Linked DNA regions of Elephas maximus indicus. The protein of the gene in region 2 binds, or shares a complex with, the protein of the main gene of each other region. Links are inferred from orthologs where the notes say so. Each region holds a gene or a part of one and is shown on either strand. Other genes may lie near its edges.

Region 1 (7,396 bases), on a different chromosome or scaffold from region 2:
GGGAAAGGAGACGGGAAGTGGGCGCCACGGCTAAGAGAACCGCCAGCTGGGTATTTTGAAAATCTTTTCTACTTGCAACAACAATCAAACGGATAAACACAATGTAGTCCATCCATACAATGAAATATTACTCAGCCATAAAAAGGAATGAAGCCCTGACACATGCTACAACACAGAAGAACCTAGAAGACATCATGTTGAACGCAAGAAGCCAGTCACAAAACACCACATACTGTGTGTTTCCATTTATATGAAAAGCCCAGAACAGAAAAATCCAGAGACAAAAAGTGGATTCGTGGTTGCCTGAGGCTGAGAGGAGGGAAAGTGGGGAGTGGCTGCTAATGGGGACGGGATCTCTTGCTGGATGTTAAGGAATTAGGCAGTGGTGATGGCCGCACAAGTCTGAGTACACTAAACACTACTAAGTTGTAGACTTTAAATGGGTGGATTGTATGGTATGTGAAATATACTTCGATAAACCTGTTATTTAAAAAACAATCTTTTCTAAAACAATAATCTATCTTCAATTCCAAGGCAGAAATCTGACCTCATCCCTGACCACAGCCATGTAGTGTGACCTCTTGTCACGCTACAAATATTAGGCACCTACTGCATGCCAGCAGGGCAGATAAGATGAAGCCACCACCCCTGCCTTCGAAGCCCTGTCTTTCAGGGGACATTTATGCTGCACACTTTCACTCATTCATGCATGCACTCATTCACCAACCACCTCCTCCTCTACATCCTGATCACACGCATGAGGCGCTTGAGCCAAATCGATGTGCCGTGTCCACCAAGCAGCAGTTGCAGATAGGTGATGAACAAATGCATAAAAATGAAGACACGTATCCAAGTATATAAGGTCACTACCCAGTGAAAAACAGCAACCTATTATAAAACCACATAGACAGAAAGTTCCACCAAGGAGCTGGAGCTGCACATAGGGTCGGTCCACCCCGACTGTATCTGCTCGGACCCAGGGAGGTGGTCTCAGCAAGTTCCCCCAACCCCTCCCTGAGGCCTCTTGCGCAGGCCAGGGGTCCCACCGTTCTGCAGGAGTTGTGGCTGAGGTCACTGCCATCCGGGCAAAGCAGTTTACCTCCTTGGCCCACAACTAACAAAGGCGGAAACTGAGGCAAGAGGAGCTTGGGAACCTCACTGTGGTTGTGTGGGCAAAGAGCAGCAGCCCAGGACAATAGCAAGGCGCCCAACCCCAGCCCAGCCCCTGGCAGAACCTGGGATGCCCCTTCAGGCTGTCCCTCCGCCCTGGTCCTACCTGACCCTGTCCCAGTGGGGGAAACATCACCTGGCCCTACTACATGGGATGCATGAAGGGTGGCTATCCCCACTTTAAGCTCCAGGACTGACCACAACCTGCCTTCCCAACCCCCAGGTCACCATGGGGGAGAGCACCTGACCCTTCTCTCAGGTGTCTGAGAGAGATACCTATCCCACCCAGGTCCCCAAGAGAGGCATCTGTCGCTCCTCCAGCACCCAGGAGTACAGGTAACAGTGATGTAAGGGCACCTGTCTCCCTCACATAACAATGATTTGGGGAACTTGTCCCCTCTCCAAAGCAATGGGAGAAAGATGTGGCAGTCTGGTTCTGTGAAGATTTACAGCTTTGGAAACCCTATGGGACATTTCTACTCTGTCATGTAAGGTCACTATGAGCCAGAATTGACTCAACGGCAGTGGGTTTCTTCAGTTTGGTCCCCCCAGGTAACAATCATATGGGGACAATGTTCTCCTCAGATAGCAATGATGTGGGAGCACCTGTCCCCACATGTAATGATGTGGGGGTATCTGTCCCTATCCCAAGTAACAATAATTTGGGAGCACCTGTCACCTTCAGGTAGCAGTTACGTGCAGGCACCTGCCTCTCTCAGGTAGCAATGATATACAGGCACCTGTTCCCCCCCTCGAGTAACAATGATTTTGGGGTGCCTGTCCTGCCAAGAGAAACCCTGATGGTGTAGTGGTTGAGTGCTACCGCTGCTAACCAAAAGGTCAGCAGTTCAAATCCACAAGGTGCTCCTTGGAAACTCTATTGGGCAGTTCTACTCTGTCCTAAGGGGGCGCTATGAGTCGGAATCGACTTGATGGCAGCAGGTTTGATTTTTTTTTTCCATCCCACCAAGGTAACAAAGATGTGGGAGAAACGTCCCCCTCAGGTAGCAATGATGTGGGAGCACCTGTCCCCTCCAGGTAGGAATGATGCAGAGACATCTGTCCCCTCCAGCTAACAACAATGTAGAGACCTCTGTTCCCCCAGATAACAATGATGTAAAGGCCCCATCCCCTCCAGGTAGCAACGATGAAGAGGCACCTGCCCTCTCCAGGAAGCAATGCAGGCTGGGGGCACCTGTCCCCTGCAGGTAACAATGATGCGAGGACACCTGTTCCCTCCAGGTACTAATGATCTAGGTACACCTGTCCCCTCCAGATAGCAATGAGATGTGGGCACCTGAGCACCTGTCCTCTCCAAGTAACAATTATGGAGAGGGCACTATTCCCTCCAGGTAGCAATGATGTGGTGTCTCCTGTCCCCTCCAGGTAGCAACGATATGGGTACACCTGTCCCCTCCAGGTAGTAATGATGCAGGAGCACCTGTCCCCTCCAGGTAGCAATGATGTAGAGGTCCCTGTCCCCTCCAGGTAGAAAGGATGTGGGGCACCTGTCCCTTCCAGGTATCAATGATGCGGGGCCCCTGTCCCGCCCACGACGTCCGGAGGGTGGGGACACCTGTCCCCAGGCCACGCACACTCCGCCTCCGCCCCGCCCCCCGCGCCCCCCGCCCCTAGCCGCCCGGCCAGCGCCCCCGCCCCTAGCCGCCCCCTCCCGGCCAGTGCTGGGCCGCGGCAGCCCCTTACCCGCGCGGCCCGCGTCAGGCTCAGATCCTTCATGACCTCCTCGAAGGCCGCCGTCTCCTCCGCCTGCTTCTGGTTGTGCAGCGCGATCTTCTCGCTGAATTTCCGTGGATTGTTCGAAGTCGCCATCTTCTCGCCGCCACCTCCTCCTCCTCCTCCTCCTCCTCCTCCTCCTCCTCCTCCACTCCTCCTCCTCCTTGCCCCCCACTCGCCCGAGCCACCGCGCAAGCGCTGGCCGGGCCCGCGGGCGGAGGGCAGTGCGCAGACGCGCCGGCGGCCGGGAGCGTGGCGCAGGCGCACGGGAACGGCGCGCGGCGTGGAGGCGAGGACGCATGCGCGCGTACCGGAGGCTCTCTCAGGCGAAGCAGCGGCGCGGAGGGCTGGCGGGGGGCGGAGGTGGAGGAGCGAATAAGATTTTTGCGCAAGCGCGGTGAGCCACCGCCTGGCTCGCTGGACAGCGGCCACCTGGCCGTTCATTGGACGAGGTCCGGATGGGCTGGGGCGCTGGAGCCCCCAAGAGTGAGACAGCCGGCCGGGACCCTTTGCAAGGGGGAGCCAGGCACCCCCCAAGGGCCGGACTTGGACCCCTAGCTTTGAGACTAGAGCATTCATTCATTCAACGAGTATTTGTTGAGTGTCTACTACAAACTGGCAAACCAAGGTACAGAAATGAACAAGCAGATGCGGTCCCCGCCCCCATGGGGTGCAGAGTTCGTGGAGGTTGGACGCACACAACCCATAAGCAGCACCAAGAACATTTCAGATGGCGATGGTGTAATGTGGAAAATAAAAACCATGATGGGCTGGAGCGAGGTGGAGGGAGGGAGGGAGGGGTGCTCCCTCAGCCACCATGGTCAGGGGAGGGGGCACATTTGAGCTGAGGCCTGACCCTTGCAAGCAGAGTCCAGCCCATAAACCCGAGAGTTGTCTTCCACACCTTTCTTTCCCTATTCCCTGACATTTGACTGGTTCTCTTTATCCCCCCAGATCCTTAAACCCAAAACCCATTGCTGTCCAGTTGATCCCAACTCTTGGCTACCCCATCTGTTACAGAGTAGAACTGCTCCATAGGGTTTTCTTGGCTGTAATCTTTACGAAGCATATCACCAGGCCTTTCTTCCACGGCTTGTAGTGGGTGGGTTCAAATCGCCAACGTTTCAGTTAGTAGTCGACCACAAACTGTTTATGCCACCCAGGGACCTAAAGAATAGAAATTACAGCACTTGAGGCTCTTCTGTGTGAATTTTGCCAGTCCTGTCCTGTTCGGAGACCCCAGCTTTACTTAGGGTGCTAAAGGAAAGTCCAGAAATCCCAGTTAAAAAGGGGAAGTAGGGTCTCCCCATTGTGAGGGTGCTTTGACATCGATCTATCGCCCCAAGCAGGACTGTGATTGCCAATATCAGAAGGTTTATATTGAAGTGCCAGAACTGGGGGTGAGGGGTGGGGGAAAGGGCAGCCTGAAGCAGGGAGGGCAGTGCAGCGGGAAATTTGGGGCAGCTGTCATCACACAGCAAGCACACTTTTTACTAAACCAAGGGGTGGCTGGAGGGAGCACTGAGGGAGATCAAAGGGGACCCCATCATTTTCCAAAGATGCTTTCTTTGGCTTTACAGCAGTTTAATCAAATGTCAATTGTCCATGCTAAAATACATACACACATATATTTAGAATGTTTTGGGCACCACCACTGCCCTGATTTTTTCTTGTTTATATTGTTTTGAGCACTTTTGCAAACTTGTCTTTTTTGCCTAACAAGCATCTGCTCAAGATGGCATTTTGATGTCACCACCCAGCTGTCCTCCAGAGAACGGTTTCCAACTTTCAGCCCATGACATGTGGATGGGGCTGGCCTCACTTCCCTCTCTCCCCACAAACACCTCACCCCAAAGTGGAAGCCTTGGGCAGTCAGCAGACCCCATTTCTCTGGCCACCACATTTGGTTCAGGGTGGGCATGTGACCCAGTTTGTCCAATGAGATGCAATCCTGGGATTTTTGCTGGAGCCATGGGAAGGAGAAACTCCTTTGTGTGGGCTACTGGTTTAAGGATAACACAGGTCTGCAGTGACAGAGGTTGCCAAATGGAAGAAACTGGCCCAAGAGAGGGAACTCACACAGGAAAACAGAAAGGTAGAGAGACATATCTTCTGAGTGCCTGGATCCAGCTACACCTGAGGCCAGCATCATATCTTTTCAGTTATATGATCCAATAATTTATTCCTTCTTTCGCCTGAGTCTATTTGAATTCCATTTTCTGCCCCTGGCACTGATTAAGACCAAAGCTCCAAGGGATCAGGGCTGGGCACTCTGCATATATGCCTTCCAGTTCTTTCCACCATCCTGTGAGGTCAGGAAATAGAAAGCAAGAAAGGCAGCTGGCCATAGCAAGGCAAGCCCTGGAGCCAAGACTGGAACTCAGGCCTATCTCATGGCAGAGCTCAGCTTCCTTCTCTGAGCTGTTTTTTTTAAGGTTTAAATGCAGTTAATGTGTGTCAGGTATCCCCGGGTAGTGCAAACGGTGAATGCACTTGCTGCTAACCGAAAGGTTGGAGGTTCAAGTCCACCCAGAGGTGCCATGGAAGAAAGAGCTGGCAGTCTACTTCCGAAAAATTAGCCACTGAAAACCCCGTGGAGCACAGTTCTGCTCTGACACACATGGGGTCGCCATGAGTCAGGACTGACTTGACGGCAACTGTTTTGTTTTTCAATGTATATCAAGTGCCTGGCTCAGAGTAAGTGCTTGACAATGCTGGTTACCCTGATCACTCACAGATTAAGCTGCTTCCCAGGCACAGAGAGATTGAGGAAAAAAGATTTGGAGGGAGAAGGAGGTGGTGTCAGGGCACAGTAAGGTGCTGGGAGGCGGCACACCTGTTTGGGCAGAAGTAAGGGGCCAGGCCAGCTCAACTCACCCCGCTCACCCCACACCCGGTGGTAACTCAATCTGTCCTAAGCCCCTGTGATGAGTCAGAGGAAGTGGCCAGCCTTGCTTATTGCACAATGGCCTGAATGTGGCCCAAGCCCTCCTCCCCACTCCACTGACCCCAAGGAAGCAGCGGCTGGCAACTCAGGAAGAACCCAGCCCCATCGTGCTCACTGTCTTCCTCCATCTCAGAAAGCTGCTGCAGCCAGAGTGCTGGCCTGGGGATGGGGAGGGCTTCAGGGCTGCTCCCTGCAGCAGACCAGGGGTCTCTGTAAACCAGGATGGATACCATACTTCCCACTGAATTTAGTAAAACATTCTCTCCCCTCCTGGCAGCTCATGCAGCCTGTGGCCCCCATTCCGGCTGTCCCACCTCAGGACCTTTGCATGTGCTGTTCCTGTGTTTGGCCTGCTCTCCCCTCAGATCCTCTGGTATCTGGCACCTTCTCATCTTTCAGGCCCTTCCTCCACTGAGACCCTCCCCGAGGTCCCTGTCTGAAGTGGCTCCCCTGTGTTTGTGTGTCCTATAACCCAGGAACGCCCTGCTCTCTGAAGGAAGCTGTTTCCAGGATCCTGTCTGTTCCCCGCTAGTGACCTGAGGTCAGGAGTAGAAAGTATGTTTGCTCGGCCAGGATCTTCCCTTCAAGAGCTTCCTGTGTGATGGGGAAAGGACACAGATACATAAAGTCCCCTTCTCTTAAGGCTTGTTCTCCATACCAAGAGCTTTGGGCACTTTAAAATCCACCCCCCTTTTTTTTAAACTCCTTTGTATACTTCTCTGAGTTTATTCTGTTTCCTTGGGTCCCCAGAGCCAACACAAGACTAGGCACAGAGGGGGCATCTGGAAGTATTTGTTGACTGAACTCATTTTCTGCCTGAGAAACTCCTACTCATCCCTCAAAGCCCACCTCAAATATTCCCTCCTCCAGAAAGCTTTTCCTGACCTCCAAGCAGAGTTTCATTCCTTACTCTTGGCTCACACAGCCCTGGGTTCCTCTCCTGCCAGCCCTGACCCCATAGGGCTGGGAGTGTCTGATTGTTGAATAGCTTCACTTCAGTCACACAGCACACATCCAAGCCTATAGGATCGTTTTCTCTCCTCTGCCTCACAGCTCCAACTGGCCCTTTTCCTCCTTGCTGGCTTCACCTCCTCGCCTTCCCTTTCTCATATCCTCCACCCAGCCTTGCTGGGCCCTGCTTCAGAGCCTTTGCACAGGTTGAAATGTCCTTTCCCCTGTATCCAGGCCATGGTACTCTTTGACTTGAAACCTCTAAATGCAATCTACCCTCCCTGTTAAATATGGACACTGGCTCTGCTCATAGCAGGCCCTTAGGAAGATTAAACAGATAATGTGGGCAAAGCACTTAGCACATTGCCCACTTCTTAAAAGCATTCGGTAACTGTTAGAGAAGCAAACGTCGCAATGCTAATTTTCATGCTTTGCTTTTCTGCGCTTCCTTATATGGGATCTTCGTCAATCCAGAGGTGAGTTAGGGCCATCGGAGCAGGAAAGCACAGAGGAATGCTGACAGGGTTCATCTCTGATGGCCAAGCCAGGCCCTCATCAGACACTTTGCAAGAGCTGGGTTTAAAGATGCAGTGA
Region 2 (7,582 bases):
ATATTACTATGTAATATGTCTTAGGCTGGGTTCTCTGGAGAAGCAAAACCAGTAAAGCATATATATAGCAAGAGAGAAAGATTTACATCAAGGAAACAGCTCACATGACTATTGTAGAGGCTGGAATGTCCCAAGTTTGTGGATTAGGATAGAGGCTTTTCCTGATTCACATAGCCACAGGGGCTGGCGAACCCAAGATTAGCAGGTGGGAGAGCAGGACTCCTGCTCATAGGCTATGAGGATCTGCAAATGCCAAGATCAGCAAATAAGCTGCTACCTCAAGTCCCAAGAGCTGGAGGCAGCTGCAGGATCCAGAGAGGGCAAAAGCCAGAACGTCCACTTATATTTGGACGCAGGCTACATGCCCAAGGAAACTCCCTTTCAGCTGACTGGCTACTCACAGCAGATCCCATTATGGGGTGACCACATATAAACACTGAGAATCATGGCCCAGCCAAGTTGACACACAATCTTAACCACGACAGTCCACCCCTTGTCAACTTGGCACCTGTACACGTCTCCACAAACCATACATATTCTCTGAATAAAGACAATTACAAAGTTATACTTGTGCCTAACGTGATACAACTAACACGCATACAACTGAAAATGCACTAGCCCTGTTTACATCTTATATTTTATAATTGAAGAAAACAAAAATATTTGATGCACACATACAATGGAGAAATACTCATAACAATTACAATCCTTGTTTCTGCAACCGGTTATATGGCCATAACTGGTATTTAGAACTACCTTCTTCACCACCCATTCCATATTCCCTTTGCCCTCAGCAAGCACGTCAGCTGGTCATGGTTTTTTGCCTGGTGGGGTGACCCAAACCTTCATTCCGGAAGGGTCTGGGCCATTAGTAGTCATGTCAGAATTGGGTTGCTGTAGTTTTCCATTGACTTTAATCACAGGGCATGATAGTACTGAGACACCCTAAGGAATCTCCTGCATTCCAGACATACTCTTCTTTACCTCCATTATGTGATATTGATACATTTTCTTCTCAGTAATCAGGATAATCACTTGATTGGGAGGAAGGGTAAGCAGAGGATATGCGTATCCACAGGATACCAGTGGCATAGCTTTCAGCACCACAGCAACACAAGAGCCCCCCCACCGTATGAAAAACTGACAGACACATGGGGGTTAAATATATAAAACCAAGAAAAACCAAACCCACTGCCATTGAGTCGGTTTCGACTCATAGCCACCCCATAGGGTTTCCGAGGCTGTAAATCTCTACGGAAGCAGACTGCCACATGTGTCTCCTGCAGAGCCGCTGGTGGTTTCAAACCGCTGACCTTATCTTCACAATCCTTTGAATGGTAGAGACATCAGATATAACCATTTACAAATAAATGATAACCAAGTTATTGAATGCTTTGTGTTAGGAATCTTGCTAAGCACTTTATGTATATTACTATTTGATCCTCAGCACCACCTAACCAGGTAAATACTTATTACCAGTATTTTATTGATGTGGAAATTGAGGCATGGAGAGGTTAAGCAACTTGCCTGAGGTAACAAAGTTGAGAAGGGAAGAAACTAAAACAGGTCAGGCTACTGGTGAAAGTCTTCAGTAATTTTCTCAGAGTTCAAGTCATAGGTTCTACTTATTCTGCTCCTCTGTTTATCACTGTCATAGGTTATTCCTTATTCCTCAAAATACTTTTCACCTGGGGTTTTCATGACATTTTCTACTTTTGCTTTTCTGCAGTCTCCTTACACCCTTATTCCACAAACATGCTGAGTATGTAAAAACCTAACAGTTCCTATTTCACTAAAAAATGTTTTGCTACTTAAAGCATGAGACAAAAACCTAACTTATCTGTTTCCTAAAGTAAATTCACAATTTACTTATGCAGAGAAATTTTTGCTTCCTCTAAAAAGGCATATATTCTATATAGGCATGTATTTGAGACATAAAGAAATGTCAATTTTCCTTTTTTAAAAAGATTTATTTTTAATGTCCTCTCAAATTTCTGGTGCCTAGCACAGAACTTAAGCAACTTTTTAAAAATTAGCTTTTAATATATTAGTCATTTTAAGTGAGTCACTGCCTAAAAGAATTTACTTGGGAGTCAAAGAATGGTAAACTTAACATCTCAGAAATAAAACCCAATCCATTTGCTCATCCATTCAGCCTACTATGAATCTCTGCTGAAACTTGGAGAAAATAAAAAACACTGAAATTAAACTGGTCACTGGAAACTCTTCCCAGTGTACTAGTTACAAGTAGTCCCGACTTACCACAGGGTTCTGTTCCCAGGACTCCAGGGTAAGTCAGTCCTGACATAAGTCGAATACCTCATTTTCTTTTTAGTTTTCAATATTATTGCCTTTTATTATTAGTATCTTTATAAATCTGATCTTTGTCTTTGGGGATTGGAAACATTACAGATAAATTTACAGATATAGTATCAACAGATTAAGTGCTGCAACACTGTGTGTAGTAAACGCTAACCCAAAAAACCAAACCCAGTGCGGTGGAGTCGATTCCGACTCATAGCGACCCTATAGGCCAGGGTAGAACTGCCCCATAGTTTCCAAGGAGCACCTGGCGAATTCAAACTGCCGATCCTTTGGTTAGCAGCCGTAGCACTTAACCACTATGCCACCAGGGTTTCCGTAGTACATGTTAAAAAAAATATTACCAACCATAAAATGTACAAAAGAAAGGGGCGGGGGTACAGTGGTTAAGCCTAGTTTGTCTTAACTGCAATAGCCTTAAATCGGGAACTACCTGTATTATCCAAACGCCAGTTGTGACTTCAGGTGAAACGTATTTGTAGAACAGTCTATCCACTGTACTCATCACATAGAAGACAAGGTGCTGGTAGGGACAGGAATCATATCGTGCATCTGCTGCTGAGAAATCTAGTACTCTACTGAACAGTAAAGAGGCTGTGCTAGCTCATCAGGCTCTTTTGCCACCTGTACCCAGGGCAGGGCCCTAGTAGCTGTTCAGTAAAGATGCTACGAAAAATGCGTTATGCTGAAAATAAAGATATGTTCAGAAATCAAGAGGCCAACACGGAGATGAAGAATCAAGAGGCCAGGGTAGTAGGAAGAGTTCCCGGTTCTCACTGCTATGTTACTTTTGCAAGTGGTTTTTGCAGGTCATTCCAGGACTATTCTTTTAACAAATTTGAAGGTAGTGGGGACAGAGACATTTGGTTATAAACTCGTTATCTCTTTGAACTTCCTTAAATTGTCTTGGCAGAGGCCCTACCGTTTTAGGTTGGCACGCTTGTGAGGCACCTGCAATTTCCGCCACTGGTCACCCTTCCTTCCCCCAGTCTTCTGGGCTCCTGGTTCCCGCTCACCTTGCCTGCGGCCAGCTTCTACCATCAGCCGGGTCAACAGGGGACTCTGGGAACTACTACAACCCTCAATACTTGCTTTCAGTAGAATAAAAGGTAATGATTTTCGTTTTAAATCACTGCAGTATGAGGTCTTCAAGTAAAAGCTTTATTGGGATAGAAAAATCTAACCTGTGAGAAACGAACCAGTGTGTTCAAAACTCTGCTTCTTTGCCGCCTTCATTTTAAGGCTTTCGGGATCGCCTCAAGCCCCCCATCTAAGACTGTCTTTTCCCCTCGGGAACTGTAGGCTTTTTGGAAGCCGCAGCGTCTCTTTCCAGGCCTCACCTCCCTCTAGCTCCGCCCGGCCCACCTCACCCCCACGTCGGCGCCCACCCATTGTCCCCTCGCGGCTGTCTTTGCGCGCGGATCCGGGGCTCCCGATTGGAAAACTTCCCCGTCACTCAGCCCACACTCGGGGGCCGGACACCTCAGTCTTTCCCTAGCCTTAAAAGGGCTAAGGCCGTTTTTTTCCCCGAGCCAGCAGGTAAACCCGCGAGGCGGAAGGGAGGGGCCGCGCGCCCAGGTCGGCCTCGCCTAGCGCTGGGGAACGGCCAGGAGTGGAGGTGGGGGAGGGAGCTCGCAACGCCCCCTCTCCCTGACCACCTGGCCGCGCCCTGCCCCACCATCCCGATCATAATGCCAGAGCTGCGGAGCCACTCTCGTAATTCAGTCCCGGGACAGCCAGGAGCAGTTACCACCGCGAAGCACGGGGGGCGGGGCGGGCAGGCAGGCAGCGGGAGACGGGTGGGGGGGAAACGTGAAAGGTCCCGGATGTTGCTGAACCGGAGCCCTTTCTGGAAGGAGTGACTGGCGCAGGCGCAGGAGGACCGAACGAATAGCTAAGGTGGGGGTGGGGAGAGATTTCCTTCCCTCTAGTTGAGAGGTTTTTTTTTTTGAATTGAGAGGAAAAGTGAGCCGGAGGTTGAAGGGAGATAAAGAGAGTGTCGGGGATCCGAGGTGAAAGCGAGGTAGGGGGTAGTGTTGGAAAAAAAAAAAGTTTCCTGCCCCGGACAAGAGTGGAGAAGTTGGAAGCTGAGCGGAGTGGGGAGGAGTGTGGGTAGAGGGAGAAGACGCACGCTCCTCCTCGCTCGCCCTCTAGCGCGGGCGGGCAGGGAGCGCGCGCTAGGGAGCGGCGGTTGCGCTGGGCCCCCAGAGCTGTAGGCACCAATCAACGGTTGCCATAGCAGCGTTTGACGTCATCGTACGTGTGGTGCCCCTGCTGCCGGGGCCGGTGATTGGAGGAAACCCCGTGTCTGCGGAGCGCTGTAGCCTGTGAGCAGCGAGATCCAGGGACAGAGTCTCAGCCTTGCCGCTGCCGCCGCCCAGAGACTGCTGAGCCCCCGTCCGTCCGCCGCCACCCACTCCGGACACAGGTAAGGGGCCCGACTGCCGCTGCCTCGCTCCATTCTTTTTTGTCGCAGACCAGCCTTCCGAAAACGTGGGAGCTTTCCCTGCTCCACATCTCCTCACCCCGGCTTGCCCCGCCGTAGCGGCGCTGAGGCGGAGTCTCCTCAGGCGGAGACGGGCGGCGGCTTCTCTTCCGCTGGTCTCGGGCAGGCGGTTCGCGGCTGCCTCCGGCTGCTTGCTTCCGGATCAGTTACTCGGCCCGGATAAGCGCTGGTTCTCCCTCGTTCCCAGTCTGTGGGGGTAGAAAACGCGCCCACACGCGAGATCCCCGGGGATTCACCCGGCCGCCGGGTCCTCGGGTGAGCGACTTATCGCCGAGGCACCCGGGCCCCATCCGTCCCCTGCCCTCGCCCCCGTGACCCCTCAGCCCCCCTCCTTCGGTGCCCCATTCCTCGCTTCCGCCCGAGGTGGCTGCGGGCATTGCAGTGGCGCAGGTGAGGCCGCCCCCTCCCCGCTCCCCGCTTGCCGCCCGCCGCCCGCGCTCCCCTCCCCCTTCCTCTCCCTCCCTCCCTCCCTTCTCCTCGGCGCAGCCTCCGCGCTCCGCGCTGCTGCGGCGGGGCCGGCCCTCCCCCACCCCGGGCGGCGGCGGCGCGGCGGGGAGCGGCCGGGGGCGCAGCGGGGAGGGAGAGGGGCCCTGCCCGGAGCTGTCAGCCAGCTAGGCCTGGGGGAGGTGGCGCTTCGGGGGCCGTGGGTGAGCAGAGCACGGGAAGGAAGGTTTGGGGTGGGGCTCGCCTGGGACCTGGAGCTGAATTTCCTGGGTTCAGCGGTGGGAGGAGGGACTTCAGTGTACCCGGTTTGGGTGGGGGATGAAGGTGGCCTTTTTTTCCTACATGTGAATGGGCGGCGGAGGCGCTGAGGGGGACCGGGAGATCAGGTCGGGAGGGGATGGGGAAGACAGTGGGTCGGTGTCTCGATCTGCCACCGGGTGGACTAGAACTGGAGAGGCCTTGCCTTCGGTTTTGGACAGATATCCTGCTTTCTGCGGCGGGTGTGCCCGAGCTTAACAGCCGGTGGTGGGCCAGCTCTGCTGGGTGTGGCTCTCCCCCTCCCCCACCTGCTGCAGCTGTCGGGACCTCAGACTCTCTAAATGGGCACCAGCGGTATCCGGTGGCGGAAGAGATGCCGGGTGGGAGAGTGGGGTGTGTCCGCGGCCAGACTGGTAGTGGTTCCGCTTCTGCGGGCGGCGCTGGCGTCCCGGCCCCCGGGCGGGCGGGCGGTCCCCCCAGCACGGGGCGGGGCGCCGGCTGCTCCTCCCTCTTGCTCGGAGGGCGCGGTGGGGGGGGGTGGTTAACACTCTGCGGTAGGTTGGGCTCCTTGACACAGATCCGCCATGACAAAGAGGGAGAGTCGGGGACTTGTGCGAAGGCACAAGCTTGGGTGGGGCCAAGGAGAGTGGGCTGCGGATAGCCTGGATGGAAGGATTTACAGTTCAAAATCACTCTCTGCCGTTTTCTATTACCAAACACGACATCCAAAGTCGGTTAAGGGTTAAATGGGTGCGGCGAGTCCTCCGCAATATAGAGGCGAGGCCTTTTTGAGCACTATGCTGTGAGAAGTCTAATCCGCTTCCCCTTGTACTGGAGAGTTGGGAAGAAAAACCTTTGTACTGGTTTTAAATGATTTTGGGGGAGGAACAGCATTAGCCGATGAGTGTTTCTGAGTTCCTAGGAGAGAAAATAATTTCGAGAACTGATGGGAGGATTACTCGATCACAATATTTAAGTAGTTTACACACTGAGACAGTATATCACATATCCACGCTACCTGATTACTTGTTTAAATACCGGGGACCTATGAGTCAGAATCGACTCTACAGCAGTGGGCTTGGTTTTGGTTGGTTTATTGTGATTTGTGGGGGAAATAGTTGCGGGATTTCCCTGGGAAGGTAAAGGATATCATATTGGAGGTTTAGGTCCCATGGGGAAACCCTGGTGGTGTAGTAAAGTGCTACGGCTGCGAACTAAAGGGTCAGCAGTTCAAATCCACCAGGCGCTTCTTGGAAACTATGGGGCAGTTCTGCTCTGTCCTGTAGGGTCGTTATGTGTCGGAATCGACTCGTCCGCACTGGGTTTGGTTTGGTTTTTTTTTTAGTTCCCATGGTGACAGTGGCTCTAATGTTCACCTTTTAGTAGTGCTCCTTAGGCTATAAGTTTTTCCTTAAAATTGTTTATCCTGTGGGATCATTGCATGGTTTAGTATCTTTATGTGCTTTTAGCCCCTTTCAAAAAGATGTCATTAAGGAAAAGTGTAGAGGAGGTAAAATGAAAAGTCTAGGGAGCTCTACAATGAGGGAAAGACATGTGAAGTCATGGAAAAGGGCAGCTTGAGTGGTAACATTCAATTAAATCGTGACTGCTAGAAACTGGAATAGTTTCATGTTTAAACTGGGACAGTGACATTGGAAACACTTGGAGATATTAAGTGCTTCCAATGTGGAATTTTAGTGCTCCTGGGTGAGTAAGAGTTGAAGTTCTAGGACTCCACTATGGGTATGTTTATTATATAAATATGTGTGTATAAACAAGGTATGGGTGCATGAGGCCTTAGGGTCCGTTAGGTATTGATTCTTGGTTATGTTTTACATTCAAAATATCTTAGAACTAGCGATTTGGTCATTTGTCCCATAAAATTGTCATGCTCTGATCAGCTGGCAAATGTTGGAAAGATCCAGTAGAATTGGGGTGGGAATGATATCAACTAAAATTTAAGATTAAATGCTCCCGATAAGAACCCGCTGTTACGAGAGTAAAATGAGCTGAATTACATTAATTTAACATGAATCATGATTCTGGAAGTAT

Evidence for each region.
Region 1: the proteins of YWHAZ (region 2) and CRTC1 are in contact, whole or in part, in a crystal structure (PDB 7D8P), measured with the Homo sapiens proteins. The link is inferred for Elephas maximus indicus from reciprocal best matches to the Homo sapiens genes YWHAZ and CRTC1. Residues at the interface, in NP_001129171.1 of Homo sapiens: Asn42, Val46, Lys49, Arg56, Arg60, Lys120, Arg127, Tyr128, Glu131, Gly169, Leu172, Asn173, Val176, Tyr179, Glu180, Leu216, Ile217, Leu220, Asn224, Leu227, Trp228; in NP_056136.2 of Homo sapiens: Arg147, Arg148, Thr149, Asn150, Ser151, Asp152, Ser153, Ala154, Leu155, His156.

Annotation. Positions count from the first base shown.
Region 1 is NC_064821.1:38,589,910-38,597,305, reverse strand, and holds the start of CRTC1 (CREB-regulated transcription coactivator 1), read right to left. Parts: upstream 3,013-7,396; 5' UTR 3,001-3,012; coding exon 2,875-3,000; intron 1-2,874. UniProt on the Homo sapiens protein: Transcriptional coactivator for CREB1 which activates transcription through both consensus and variant cAMP response element (CRE) sites.
Region 2 is NC_064833.1:41,043,968-41,051,549, forward strand, and holds the start of YWHAZ (14-3-3 protein zeta/delta), read left to right. Parts: upstream 1-4,566; 5' UTR 4,567-4,750; intron 4,751-4,809; exon of another isoform or gene 4,810-5,083; intron 5,084-7,582.